Linked DNA regions of Mus musculus. The protein of the gene in region 2 purifies or fractionates together with the protein of the main gene of each other region. This does not show direct contact. Links are inferred from orthologs where the notes say so. Each region holds a gene or a part of one and is shown on either strand. Other genes may lie near its edges.

Region 1 (7,122 bases), on a different chromosome or scaffold from region 2:
GAAATGTGATCAGGATATATTATATTAGAAAAATAAAATTTAAATGAGAGGAAAAAAGAGCAAAGAATGCTCCATTTATTTTCCAAGAACATCCATGGGACAGGCCCATAGTAAAGAGACTTTAGTTACATGATGGGCAGTTTTCAGATATGACTCTGCCTTCATGTATCTAACAATTCACAAGAGTTTAACAAAGTGCACTTATTTATAAATGCCATATGTATTCTGAGTGGGCATTTAAATATGGATGCTATAAACAGTACCTGGTAGGGCTTCCTATGTTGGTTATGCAATATTATGGTAGTGGTAAGAATACTAGGATATATAGGAAAGATATAACTTTACTGGTTCATTTTAAATAACCATTTCTTATTTAATCATAACTCAGAACCATATTTTTCTCTGAGGTCAGCTTAAAGTAGATATTATAGTTTATATTTAAACTCTAGAGGCTCTCTCCACCTTAGGTGACTTTAAAAATGAAGTCAATTAAAGTGAAAAATGTGAAATAACAGAAAATATTAATGTGAGATAGCTGGGAGTAACTGGATGGAGGAAAGGGATTAGGGAGTGATGTAATTCTATTTCAATTAAACATATTAACATAAAGTAAATTTTAATTGAAAAATAAAAATTAAAAGGAACAAATAGTTCTGAGCTATAAGAGTAAAATATCAAGGTAAAAATGAAGTTACTGTTGGTAGATAAAAATAATCAGGGAAATCTCTCCCAGGTAGAGTATCAAATCATCATAGCTATGGACTCACAAACTGAGTCTGCTAAATGTTTCCTGATTGGTCTATTTAAGCATCTTTTCCAAAATACTTGGTGTACTCTCCTATTTTTTTTTAATTTTTAGGCCAATATGAAAATATAAGAAAGTTATTGAGTAATTCCCCCCTTTGTCCGCAGGTTGTGGTGTCTACTGAACCAGACACCATGAATTAAACCCTCCATATCTGCAAAGCTTCCTCCTCTATGGCAAGCTGTCTCCAAGACAACGCAGTTGGAGAGCAGCCCTGCTCTTGGGCCTGTCAGTAATCAGCGCCTTGTTTCTCACTCTCCTATTCCTCAGCGAATGCTTGGCCGGGATGCCAGTGTCAGTGATCTCGAATCTGTTTTACGTAGGTCTGCAAAACTGCAATCTGCAGAACAGACTTTGCCAAGCAGATCCATGCAAAGCAGATTCAATATTCTTACAGCAGAAAAACCCTAAACGTCTTAAATAGGTGTGCCAGCTAGCATCAGCTCTTTATGAAGTCTGCTGAAAGCCGGGTCACTCACATTGGGGTTACAGTCAGTATCTTCCCACTTTCCATTCTCACTCCAGTGAAAGACTATGGGCACAACTAAATATGATGAGTTCCGTTTTAACAGACACATGGATTATAAGCCTTTTAATTCCCTGCATTACAAGCTAGGTAATGCCACTAAATGTCGGCAGTTCTGCACGTCAACACACTGGTTGCATCTCTTTCATATTAATAGGACTCCTCGTTTACTCTTTACTCGGTATGGTGTGACAGGTATCTCCCCTTATTCACCTTTCCCAGGGGGGAAATTACTTTTTAGCTTTTACTAAATGACTTTTACCACAAATTCTAAAGGATTTCTAATCTCATTAAAGCCTCGTGTCTCTCTTTCTCCCCAGACCAAAAGCTTTCTAAGGAGATTTTTACCCCAGTTGTTGCTGTTTACAGTGATTCTCATCCCATTTCACCCTCTCTTCACCTACTGCCCACTGCAACATACTGACTGCTGAGTGGCAAATGTGACTATGCTTCTGGGGGCAGCTCCTTAATCCCAACCCCTCCTCTATTTCATTAGTGCCATGGCTCTTACTGGTACGACTGTCAGAATAGTTTCGCTCATCTTCATCCTTCTGGAAAGATGAAATTTCAGATCTTGTTTTTACCCCTTAGCAAGATAAGGACTTGATTAGGTCATCAATTCTTTCTGAAACGAGTTTCCTAATTTGTACATTCAGAAGCTAATTTTCTGTGAAACTCTTGGAATTAATTAGAAAAATCAAACCCTTAATGCATACAGCAGGGAGGCCAGAGTGCGTGTGTGAGTGGTGGCCATGGGGAGCTTGGTGTCAAGACTCCTGTATAAAGGTTTTAGGATAGTTCATTACCAACACCCCTTTTATTTTTTCTTGCTCTGTGATGATACAGTTATTCCTTACTTCTTATGGCTGGTGGGAGGACAAAATAAAGAAGAAAATGCATGATAAGGGTTTATTCTGCTAAAGTGTCCATCAAAGACTATTTTAAAAAATGCAACAGAAAAGGGGCAGGCCCTCCATATACCTGTTATTATCCCCATGTTATGTGATAATGAGCTTTTTTGTTGTTGTTGTTATACCTTTTATGTGACAAATTGATTAAAGCACTGCAAGTTTCTTCTGAGTGGTCGTGTGGTCTCCCACTGTGTTAGGACACCGTGTTTGCTTATGCTGCACACAGGGAGAATCTTTCTCATCCCCACCCATTCCCACTCCCCCTTTCATCAAAAATAAATGCCTCCTCCCCCCCCCCAAGAAATTATTTCACAGTATCTTTAATGCTCATTTTAACGTTTATTTATGGTGGGGTTGCATACATGTTTTGTAAAGGGTGCTAAGTGCCTACACTGAGAACAGTCCAGTTCAAATCAGTCCATTCCACATGGATGCTTCCTGTGCCAGTTGAAGTCATATGGAGAAAGGCCTTGACCTTTCTCTTGCTCAGGTCTGCGTTGCTGTTAAGTCCTGCTAACTCTCCAGGGCCTTCTTTGTCGATACAGATCATCAGTCCCATACAAAGAACAAGATACAGAACACCTCAATGTATTTCACAAGTTTAGCACAGCACATCTCTTGTACAAAAATGCACGAAAGCACAAAAGTGAAAGTACCAAATACTTATCACACATGCATCAATCTTAAACACTACACGAGTACACAAATGAATAGCATTACAAGGTACAAAAGCACTGTATGGAAAACTTAAAAATTATACATGAAATACTGCACTGTGGATTTGGGATACTCTAATGACTCAACCCCACCCTTACACAGCCCTAGTATGGGTCAGAAACTATCAGTGTGCCCCTGGACCTTTTTAGTCCTCAGAGACACTGCTGCGGGGGGCCTGGGCAGCAAGATTAGCCTCCCGCAGAGCTCTGGCCTGCTCCAGAGCCTCCCTGTATCGGGAAGGCCACGCCTGGGGATCTTTCTTGAAGACTCTGGCCAGGAACTCCATGATCTGCATCTTGGTGATTTCACGGTTAGCTCTGGACCCCCAGAAGAACTCGTACTCGGGAGGCTCGATGTGGGGCACACGCTGGTACTTCAGGTAATTCTGCTGGACGAACTCCTCGGTGATTATCTTCCTCACGTCTCCGAAGGTGGAGTGCTTCTTCCAGGGCCTCAGCCCCAGGATGCGCAGCACATTCCAGACCGCACCCTCTCTGGCCCCGCGGCCCTTCACATAGATGAGGCTCAGGATCATGAGCAGGAGGCCTGTCATGGGCATACGGTTGTTGAGCGCCACCCTGTCTAGCTCCTCTGGGCTGAGGGCTTTGACCAGGGCAAACTCCATGGTGTGGAGATTGGTCAGCCTCAGGTGCAGCCCGAACACTCTGGCGAGGATGACGCTGGTGCGCCTGAGGATGCTTCTGCACCATTTCTTGTAGCTGCCCATGACCTCTTTCACCATGTCTGGAAACCAGAGGACCATCCTCTTCTGGTCCTTCACCAACACGTACCACATGAGCTCGTGCGCCTTCTGCACCAGCTGGGCAGGGGCTGGCGGTGCTGGGATCGGCCGGGCTGGACTCTGGGGCTGGTGGGCGCGGCCCTCCTCTGCGGCCTGCTGCAGGATTTTAGGGTCAACATCTTCTATCCGTTCTTCGGGCGGTGGCGAGGCCTGTTGGGCTGCCATAGGGCCTTCGGGAGCGCACGGTGGCCCTGCGAGGTTAGCGGCCAGAGAAGCGGGAGGAGGGATCCCCACCGGAACGGCATCGCTGTCCTGCATCTCACAGTCGGGGACCTCGGCTGCAAAGTTAGGGTCGCTCAGGTCCTTACTTTGTTCCGACATGTCTGCGCCTTCGGATCAGAGCAGGACCGATGCGGCTTGGAGCTCTTGGAGCGGGCACTCCCTCGGTGGAGACCAGCAGAGGAAGTGCGCTTTACTGAGCACTGCGCCTTCCGCAGCAGCGGGCGGGCGGGGCTGATGCGATATTGCGCATGCGTGTTGGGAAGCCAGAAGGGTGGTAGGGCTGGAAAGGAGCGAAGCAGCAAAGCCCAACCACTGGGGTCTAAGGGAGGGTACCACTAGGCTTATGTAAAAGATTTCCTGGTCTCCTGTATGGCACAGAACTAGATGATGGTAGGGAAAGAAACAAGTTGAAGGAGAAAGATGTAGCTGAGATGGTGAAGTTAAGTTCGGACACACTGAGTTTGTGCAAAATCAAATTAAATGTGAAGGTCCTGGAGAAAGACTTAATTCTTGATTTTGGTTTTTCTACAAAAGAATAAGAGAAACAGAAATGACTTTTTTTTCTTTTTTCTTTTGGAAAGCTGTACCTTATGATGATGATGAGTTGTTTAAGATTGGAATATTGAGAAATTATTAATAGAGATAAATTCTTACATATCTGAATGCAGATCAAACAAGGAAGAATGTAAAGTGTAGTTACAGACACTGGAGATAAATCCATGTGAGATTTGAATGTTCTAGAAGTAGTAGATTCATATAGCATAATTGATGGGAGTTTAAAATTTTAATTAAAATGAGACTTGGTTCAGTGGTTAAGAGCTTTTGCAGTTCAAGCATGAGAACCAGAATTTAAATCCCCCAGGCCCCACATGAAAATGAGGGATATATAAAATATATATATATGCATTCATTCATCATTGGATGCTCAGTTTGTTGGTTTTGAATTATTTTAATAACTATAGATTTGGGCTCTCCATTTCTATTAGGTCACTTTGTTTTCATCTAAAGCTTCCGTTAAGATTCTAGTGGAAAATGATCAACATATTTATTAATACACATTTTATGACAGTGTATTTTTCATATTTTCCCACTACCTTTTTGCCCTGCTCACTGCATCTTCTGCGTTTATAAGAAATCTTCTACTTCTTAAATTATGTCATTCACAAATGACTAATTCCATGTTGGGAGCACATCCAAATCTTTCCCAATATATTTTAAATGCAGCTCTTTTCGATACCTAACAGTCTCTCATGAATAAGATGCAACATATTGGTGTCCAAAAATAAAAAGGTAGATCGAGAGGTCATCTAAAGCTGATATTTCCTCAAACTCTCCTTTATACAATGACCATTGTTGAAGCTTCCAAAGCCAGAAGTCCTTAGATTTGATCATCTTTCTTGTTCTGAAATAATGGAATTCCTTAGCCCTTCTCATCACTTAAAGCGGACAGATTTAAGATATCATGTTGGCATTCCTAGGTTCTAAAATATGTTTGTTTAGATATAACAGCTATCTTTTACCCAGAATAGTTATGGCAAGAAGCGATTCAGAGTTTTCCAGATTTGAGAATATTTGCACATGTACAATAACTTGTTTTAAACTCCAGCCTAGACGTGTTATTAGTTTGCTTCTTATTGACATTTTTGAAGGCAACACTTTCTCTCAGTTGTGATCTACTCCGCGAGCTCTGATGTGGAATTTTTCACTTGTGACATCCTGCATATCCTGGAAAAAGTTTCAGATTGTATATATTTGAGATTTTATGTGTTTGGGCTAAAAGTGCTCTAGTTCTCTGATGCTCATTAATTGGAACTGTTTTTCTGCAAGTGGGTTGAGTTTGAAGAATTTTCTGCACTAGATCACTATGTTTATATATACAGTGTATTTACCATCTTGTACTCAATGGATTCATGAAAACAAGTCACAAGTATGGGGCTGACAATCTTGAAGTTGTTTTTTGTTCAGGGAGGATACCAGAGATGGGACCAGAGAGCTACCTGGGCATCAGCTACTGAATAAGATGAGCTATATAGTTGAATTCCTAGCTGGAACTCAAGCTGAAGAAGCTGTTAGCATGATAGTAGGCAGAACCCCTACTGAAGCTCACTAGACACATTCCTACAGATAAGAAAGTTGCTTAATGCTGAACCAGAGACTATAGATTAGGACCACACTCATAGATAGTGCTTCAAGAATTCAAGCCACGGAATTAATGTTCAACTTAAAAGGAGCCCAGTATAAACTGTGGTGCTGCTTAACCTCAGAGATCCAAAGCACCCCTACAGATAATGGTTTCATCTATTCAAAGAAATCCTTCTGAAGAAGATCAACACACTATTATAGAGAGAAGGAAGAGAATTTGGGATAATGTTTAATCACAGAGCACAGACTTTAAGCAGAGAGCACATTTAGCATGAAAGCTTGGGAGTTGATAGCTACACAATATATTGCTTACTCCTATAGAGACTGGACAGACATTACATAAAAAGGAATGAAAGGGAAGTAACATTAAGTAAAGGAAAATAAACCAGTACTGGGGTGTTGTCCATGACTACTCTAAATCCAAGGGATATTGGGACTAGAGTTCTAAGAATGTTGGGAATAATTTAGACTTGGGGGTTATCTTTACATTCAGTTTAAGAGGAGATAGAAAATAAGATACTACACTAGAATTTAAGACGAAAATGCAGGAAACTTACATTAATGGCTCCCAGAAAAGATTCAAGAAGAGATTCAGAAATAGAAAATGGAGACATTATGTCTTCAGATCTTTTGGAAAGGACATTTTTTTCCAATGGGTTTCCTCAGACTGTAATATGGAACAGATTATACAGCTGTGGAATAGGCTGTTCTTGGCAGACTCCTCTGAAGAGGCCTCTTCTGGCACTGGCTTCCATAGAGAGCTGAGGAAGGAGGGGTCATCCTGGAGCCTCCTGAGGATACTACACATGCTCTCAGGGCAGGGTCCTTGGATGAAACGTGAATTTTTCCTGGCTCTTTCTTGTCTACATAGGCAGTGACCTTTCTCTTGAAGCCCCCAAATGGGCCCCACATGCCTTTTCAGGCCAAAAACTGAAACAGAAAACTGATTTTAATATTTTCAGCAAATATTTTTGAGCAGTGTTAGGCTTAGTTTTAA
Region 2 (7,098 bases):
CAGGAAATTGGTCCTTTGCAGGGGCCATGAAACTGAGGAGAAAGTTGCCTCAGACTGCGGGCCAGCATCTGCATTTTCTTGTGTTCTCACAGCAGCCTGCTTTTCTTCACTGTTTTCTGGGTGCAGCCAAAGTTGGGCTTCAAGAAGGGGAGGAGAGGGAGCGGTGTGAGCATTCCTCCACACACAGGCCATTGGAGACCGACGGACAGGGACGGACGCACGCACGCCAGCTCAGATGCAGCAGTTCTTGGCCTGCCAGAGCCGGGAGGTGAGGAAGACAGCCCCACGAAGCTCATCTCGGTCCCCTTCCATCTTTCTCTGGCAGCCAGCGACTTCCAGCAGGATCTGGTCTCAGCCCAAAAAGAGCCATGGGGGGAAAAGCATGATCTCTCTCTCTCTCTCTCTCTCTCTCTCTCTCTCTCTCTCTCTCTGTGTGTGTGTGTGTGTGTGTGTGTGTGTGTGGTGTTGGATTATGGGGTGGGTCCTTGGTCCCTGACCCCTAGGGTTGACTCCAAGGGCCACTGTTGGCTTCAGGCTTATGACACGAATGAGGGTGCTAACAGATTCATCCCTCCACAAATGCCCTGTGGCTAAGCCTGACAGACAGAGGAAGGCAGCACCCCACTCCCCAGGACATTAGCCCGACTCCATCAGAACAGGCCAATGGACCAGGTTTTGAACAGACAGTTCATCTGCACAAGGGTTGGGTAGGGGCCTGGAAGTGGTTGAGGGCGGGGCAGACGTCGTTTCCAGATGTTTCCCTGAAAGTCACTCCATCCCTGCCAACAAGCACTTGACGCCCTCATTCAGAAAGGAGTGTGTCAGCCTACAATTGATCTCCCTGTTGTTGGGTGGCCTAGGTTAGTCCCTGCCTCTCTGGGCTTTACCATCCTATGTGTAAGAGAAGGAGTGTGGACTGGGCTCCAAACCTGCTTTCAGCTCAGATAGGCCTGTAATCCTCTTCATCTTTGGCCAGATGGGAGAAGGGAGGGGTTGAGGAAGGTCTGGCCTACCACAATGCCCCCCCTGTTCTCCAGTTCACAGTGTGGAGTCCATGGCTCTGGTTCATTAGTACCCCCTGAGTCTTAGGGGTGCCCCTGTTACCTTCTCTAGTGTCAGACCCCTAGATCTGACACAGTTAATGTGTAGAAAGAAAGGAAAGGCCTGAGATGGTCACGGGGCAAGACAGGCTTGGGGTGGTCCTATCTCTCGCCGGAGAGAGAGTGTGGTCAGAAGCAAAGGTCCCCTCAGGAGCAGCAACAGGGCTGTGGTTTGGGGAGCGGGACACAGAGGCCCTACACAGAGATGCTCGGTTCTGACTGTTGGGCCACCCCAAGGGAGAGGGGGGCGGCTCTGTGGGGGCTAGAACATCAGCGGTCGGAATGTGGGACAGGACAGGGGCTCCCAGTCGGTGAGCTCACACAGGGGACGTGGCAGTGGACTCGCTGCACAGGCTCTCCACAATGTCAGCTCTCTGGATGCGTCGCAGGGCGGCTAAAAGGGCATCGAGCGTCGCGCTGTCCTGGGCACCCCAGCTGGCCAGCAGGGCTCGGACTGGGCAGGCCTCGTGGGTAAAGGAGTCTATATGCTCCGGCTGGTAGCCCAGCTCGCCTGCCAGATGTCGCCAGGTGTCACCATTGAGCAGCTTCTCGACCTCCTCACGCTTGGTCAGGGGCAGGCTACTGTAGAGGTTGCCATCACCCTTGAGGGCTGCAGAGAACAAGGGGTGTCAGTTCCTAACCTGAGCCCTCTCTCCTTCCATGTTCCCTAACCCTGAGCCCTCACTTCCGTGTTCTCTAACCCTGAGCCCTGGTTCCTTCCGTGAGCCTAGAAGCTTGGGCCAAGACCCCAGAAGGGCCAAGGCACGTTCCTCCAAGTCTAGAGTTAGAGGCGGAGAGATAGCCAAGATGAGGTCCTAGATGAGGCCTGGGTGGGAGGGACCTGGGTCCTGCTGACTCACTGTTCTCCCTACACCCTCGGTGCTGGCACCATCCTTTCCACGCGTGTCCCCTCCCCCCAGCAATCATCAAGGCGAAGGGGGAGGGGACAGGGCAATCCAGCTCCAGACAACTGCAGCAAGTGTCCTAGAGCCTGGCTCTGGGCCGCTAATTAAGGTACACACTTAAGCACTTGTTTCCTAGAAGTCCAGGGCAGGAGGCTAATTGCAGCCACTTTGGGCAGTAATTAACCCCCCGGGGCAGGGGGGGGCAATTAGCCTGATGAGTCTGGATGCTCCAACTTATAAAAGCCTGCATTTCCCAAGTCATCCCAGGAGAAAAAACAAAAAATGCAAAACAACAACAAAAATAAAAAACAAAAACCTTCCCCTTTCCTATGTCTCCCACCCGACTTAGCCTCTCCTACCCTGGTACCTGCCGGTCCCTCCTGGAGTCTAATCATAACTGCACCCTCAGTCTTTTGGCTTCTCACTCACCTTGGCCTGAGGCAGTCTGTGTGTGGGTCTGCTGGTCGTGCAGGCTCTGGCTGTCCACAGAGATGCCGCTGTCGCTGTGCAGTTTCTCTCCCTCTGGTGGGGGTGTCTGGTTCACCGGCCGGCTGTTGGCTCCTTGTTTATTTTGCTTGCAGCTGTTCCATCTGCAGCCCAGGGACAGGGGATAGGCCAGGGCTTGGGGTGAGGATTCTATCAGTGCAGCCAACGTAGCTGTGCTGCCGACTGAGGCTGGGAGTGTGGCAATGTCCCCAAAGGGTCTAAGGAGCTTATTTCTGTATATGATCTTATCCAAAAGGCTGAGAGGCGATAAGATGCTCATTTCTGCAGGTGGGTGCGTAGGTACACTCGTGCGGGTGCATAAACACACACACACACACACACACACACACACACACACACACACACTCTGAAAGCTCTGCAAGGGTGGAGGAACTTGGTAAACATTCAGTAAATGTTCACAGAACCAACTACACAAATAAATGACTTCCTAGAAATTCCATTTCTCCCTACTAAAATACTCCCATATGTGAGCAGCAATCACACACTCACTTACACACACACACACACACACACACATGCGCATACACACACACAGATTTCCTTGGCAAACATAAGCAGCAGCAGCAACAAAAACTCTGAAGATAAGTGTCCATCAAGAGCGGACTGGCTAAGCACATTACAGCCCATGTCTGGTGCTGTTGAATGAGAGGCTGTAAATGATCAGATAATCTGTGTTCTGAGGAAAGCTCTCCTGAGGGGGAGTAAGAGGGAAGAGTACATTGTAGACGGTGAATGGTGTGTTCCCACCGAATCGTCAGAAAAGTTCTTCATGTCTACATGTAATTATAAAACATTCATGTGTGGGTATATGTGTATGTATATATGCATATAACGTGTGTGTGTATGTATGTGTGTGTGTATATATATGCACTCTAAACAGCTTAGAAAGTGTTATCCCAAAGAGATTTCCCACAAGATGTGCAGGATTTGAGGAGATAAAGCGAGGCTTTTGCTTTTTGCGTTGGAAGCTGTTTAGAAGTCTTGGGACTGGAGCTATTGCTCAGTGGTAGTAAGCAGGCTTGGCATGTTCAAAGATCTGGGTTCCATTCCTCAGCACCGCAAAACAAATTCAGTCTTGTTTGCATTTGCTTTTAAAAAGCATGGATCACTTTGATGATTTAAAAACAAAATACCAAAGGAAAAGAAAAGAAAGAAAGAAGAAAAGAAAAACGGAATGGGACGCACACTCAAAGCTGAAAATGCCTTCTGCGAGTTCTTCTGTCTTGAATTCCTTGATGTGGGTCCCACAGGAGCCCAAGGGTAACAAGGGAGTTTGGGAGTGACAGGAAAGCAAGGGTGACTTAGGAAGAGAAGAGACACATGCAGAACCAGGAACCGTGGGGTGAGTGTGACTGAGGGCAGGGATGCAAGTAGCCAGAGGAGGTGGCAGGGACTAAGGAACAGGAGGAGCAGCTTGGGAGTAGGGAAGAGCTGGAGCCAGGACAGAAAAGAAAACCATGTAATAACACACATACACTCCCACACATACACACCACACACACTCCCATACACACTTCCCCACATACTGTACACATACACACGCACACAAACACACATACCACACGCACACACAGATACTCCCACACATACCACACACATACACACCACACACACTCACCCCCCATATGTGTGTGTGTGTGTATATATATGTGTATATGTATATATATGTATATATATATATATATATATATACACACACACATATACTCACATACTATATACAAACACACCACACACACTCATACACCACACACACACACACACACACACACAAACACACACACCACATACACCACATGGACACACCACACACACACCACACACACACACACACACACACACACCACACACACACACACTCATACACTATACACATGCACACCACACATATACCACACATACACACACATTATGCAAGCACATACACCACACACACACCACATAGACACTCTCACATACCACATATATACACACACACACACACCATACACATACACACATACATACACACACACACCATACACATACACACACACTATATGAGCACACACACACCATACACACATACACACACACTATATGAGCACACACACACCATACACACATACACACACCATACACACATACACACACACTAATATGAGCACACACACACATACACACACGGATACACCCCAGAGGGCATGAGATAGTGTTGGAGGATGAATTTAGGGTTGAATTAAGGGTATGTATGTTTCCAGGTCAAGGTCGGAGCAAACATCTCCTATGTCATCCTCAGTGTGCCCCCTCTTACCTCTTGAAAGCAATATAGGCCACAAGGCCCACAACCACAGCAGCCAAGATGGAGCAATAGACAGGAATGAGGTTGTCAGCGGTGCCTCGGGTCACTACAGGCTGGGAGCTGCCCATCACAGTGGTCACCGTATCGGCCACTGTGCTGGCTATGAGGTCTCGCTCTGGAGGTGCCTCCGGCTCCTGGGTGCTGGGTGTTGTGACGTCAGAGCCCTCCGGGGGCGTAGACCTTGTGATCCATCGGCCAGGGATCTCTGAGGAACAGGGCCACAGGAGTTAGGACCTACCCAGGCCTTCCCCTTAGCTCCAGCTTTCCAGGGCTTCATCATGAGCCTCCAGGCACACAGGGCCAGGCTGTTACGCATGGGGGTGGAAGCTGGGACTGTGCACATGCAGTTTAGAAAAGAAGAGCAAGAGCTGTATGACAGGAGACTTCTATCAGTATGGGGCCTCGACTTCCCCATCTAGAGAATGGGCTTTCTGAAAAGAAATGGTCTTTAAACAACTTTTTGGCTTAGGCTGCAGAACCAGGATTCTAGTGTCTGCCAGCAGCCACGCATGAACACCAAGAAGCCTGCATGCTGTAGAGCATCTTTAAGCTGGAGCAATGACTTAATTGCTTTGAGGAATGGAATTGCTCTGACTTAGTGACCACAGCCTTCAGGAAGGATAGGGCACTTAGAGCTGATCAGAGGCCTGATCAGAGATGCTGCCCGGCAGGTGGCACTCAGCCCCTTCCTGTCTCAGATGCTCCAGGCCTAGGCTGGCACTAGATGTATAACTGGCTTACTTCACCCCCAGCCAGTCCTTGAACAGTGGCCAGCATGTTTCTTGTAACGCCTGACACCCCCCACTCCCAAAACAGCCTAGCCCTGGCATCTAGAGAAGAGTGGGTTAGACAGCTGGCACCCTCGTTAGCAGGAAGCAGACAGCTGGCGGAGGGAGGGCCTACGAACTAGACCCTGCCTCAGAAGGAGCAATTCTGTGCTTGGCCACCCATCTAGGCCCGCTCATGCCATTTGGACATTGCCAGCCTTCCTGGCAGAGGCTCCAGCCCCTCTTGGCACTAGTGGGTGGGATTTTCCATTCTGCCACCCAGCCAGAGGCAGGGCTAGGGGTTGTAGGCTCTGGATGGTGGCCTGGGGGATACTTGTCTGGGCAAAGCAGCCTGTCCTATCCATTCTCACTTCCCACGCAGGGAAAACAGGGAGGGAAAGCAGACAGGGTATGCTTGTAAGGTTAAGGGGAGGACACTTTGCTACCCAGCTCTGCCCCGCCCAGTCTACAGTGTGCCCACCCAAGCTGGAGTTAAAGCTGCCCACTAGTCCTCTGGGTCTCCCTGGCTCGGGACAGAGATGCTTCAAAGGCCCCATTTTCAGCACCTTCTGAGGGGTAAGGACCCCAGATGTGAGTCTGGAATCCATTTGACTGGCAGTGTGGGGAAGGTTGCCATCTGCTGCCCAGTCCCACCCCACCCCCATCCCAGTACCGGGCAGGGCTGGAAGGAGAGGGTGGGAAGTGGGAGAGACAGCCCTGTCTGGGCATTAGACCCTAGAGGACCTTCTTATGATCCGCTAGGGGAACAGGGAAGGTTGAAGGTGTAGCCTGAATCCAGAGGTTGCAGATGTGACTCAGTTTAGATTGACAGTCCTGCCCCCGAGGTTGATGTGGGTGGGTGAGCGATACAGAAATGAAGGAGCCTCAGAGAAGGGCTAAAGGCAGTGTCGAGTGTCCAGGACACCTCCCCTCACCCCCGCCCCCAGCCTCTCTGATAGGGTTGGAGACGAGATCCAGATGTGGGCCTGTCCTCTGACGTTCCAACCCGCTAAACACTTGGCAGGTCCTGACAGCCATTTCCGGAATGGGAGCTATCAGGAAGAAGAGGGAGCAGGTGACCCCTCCTAAACTTCAATGCGGTAAGGAGGCCGGGCGTCTGCCCCAAGGCTGGGTGAGTCACCATGTTGACACCTGAAATGTATATGCGGGCGAGTATTTAACATTGGACAAGAGTGGGCTGCCAACCCAAGAATCAAATTCCATTTCCTGAAAGGGATGTTTGGCCTCAGGGCCAACATTTAACCCTTCAGACGTTGGAACAGAAAGAACAATATAAGGATAAATGTTACTGGGGGGTCAGGGGGTGCCTTCTGCCAAGATGACTGAGAAAGAAGGATCGCGTCTGGGAAGAAATGATTCCTTGCAAGACGGAGCCTGCCCCTTTTCCAACCAGGTCCTCCCTCTCCTCTAATCACAACCCCGACCTTGTGCACCACCGGCTGATCTAGACTTGCCCA

Evidence for each region.
Region 1: the proteins of Ngfr (region 2) and Ndn purify together in Homo sapiens (affinity purification with western blotting; 3 studies listed by BioGRID). This does not show direct contact. The link is inferred for Mus musculus from reciprocal best matches to the Homo sapiens genes NGFR and NDN.

The regions. Positions count from the first base shown.
Region 1 is NC_000073.6:62,345,368-62,352,489, reverse strand, and holds Ndn (necdin), read right to left. Parts: upstream 4,214-7,122; 5' UTR 4,083-4,213; coding exon 3,105-4,082; 3' UTR 2,562-3,104; downstream 1-2,561. UniProt on the Homo sapiens protein: Growth suppressor that facilitates the entry of the cell into cell cycle arrest.
Region 2 is NC_000077.6:95,569,386-95,576,483, forward strand, and holds part of Ngfr (tumor necrosis factor receptor superfamily member 16 precursor), read right to left. Parts: intron 5,059-7,098; coding exon 4,806-5,058; intron 2,596-4,805; coding exon 2,435-2,595; intron 1,711-2,434; coding exon 1,418-1,710; 3' UTR 1-1,417. UniProt on the Homo sapiens protein: Low affinity receptor which can bind to NGF, BDNF, NTF3, and NTF4. Forms a heterodimeric receptor with SORCS2 that binds the precursor forms of NGF, BDNF and NTF3 with high affinity, and has much lower affinity for mature NGF and BDNF.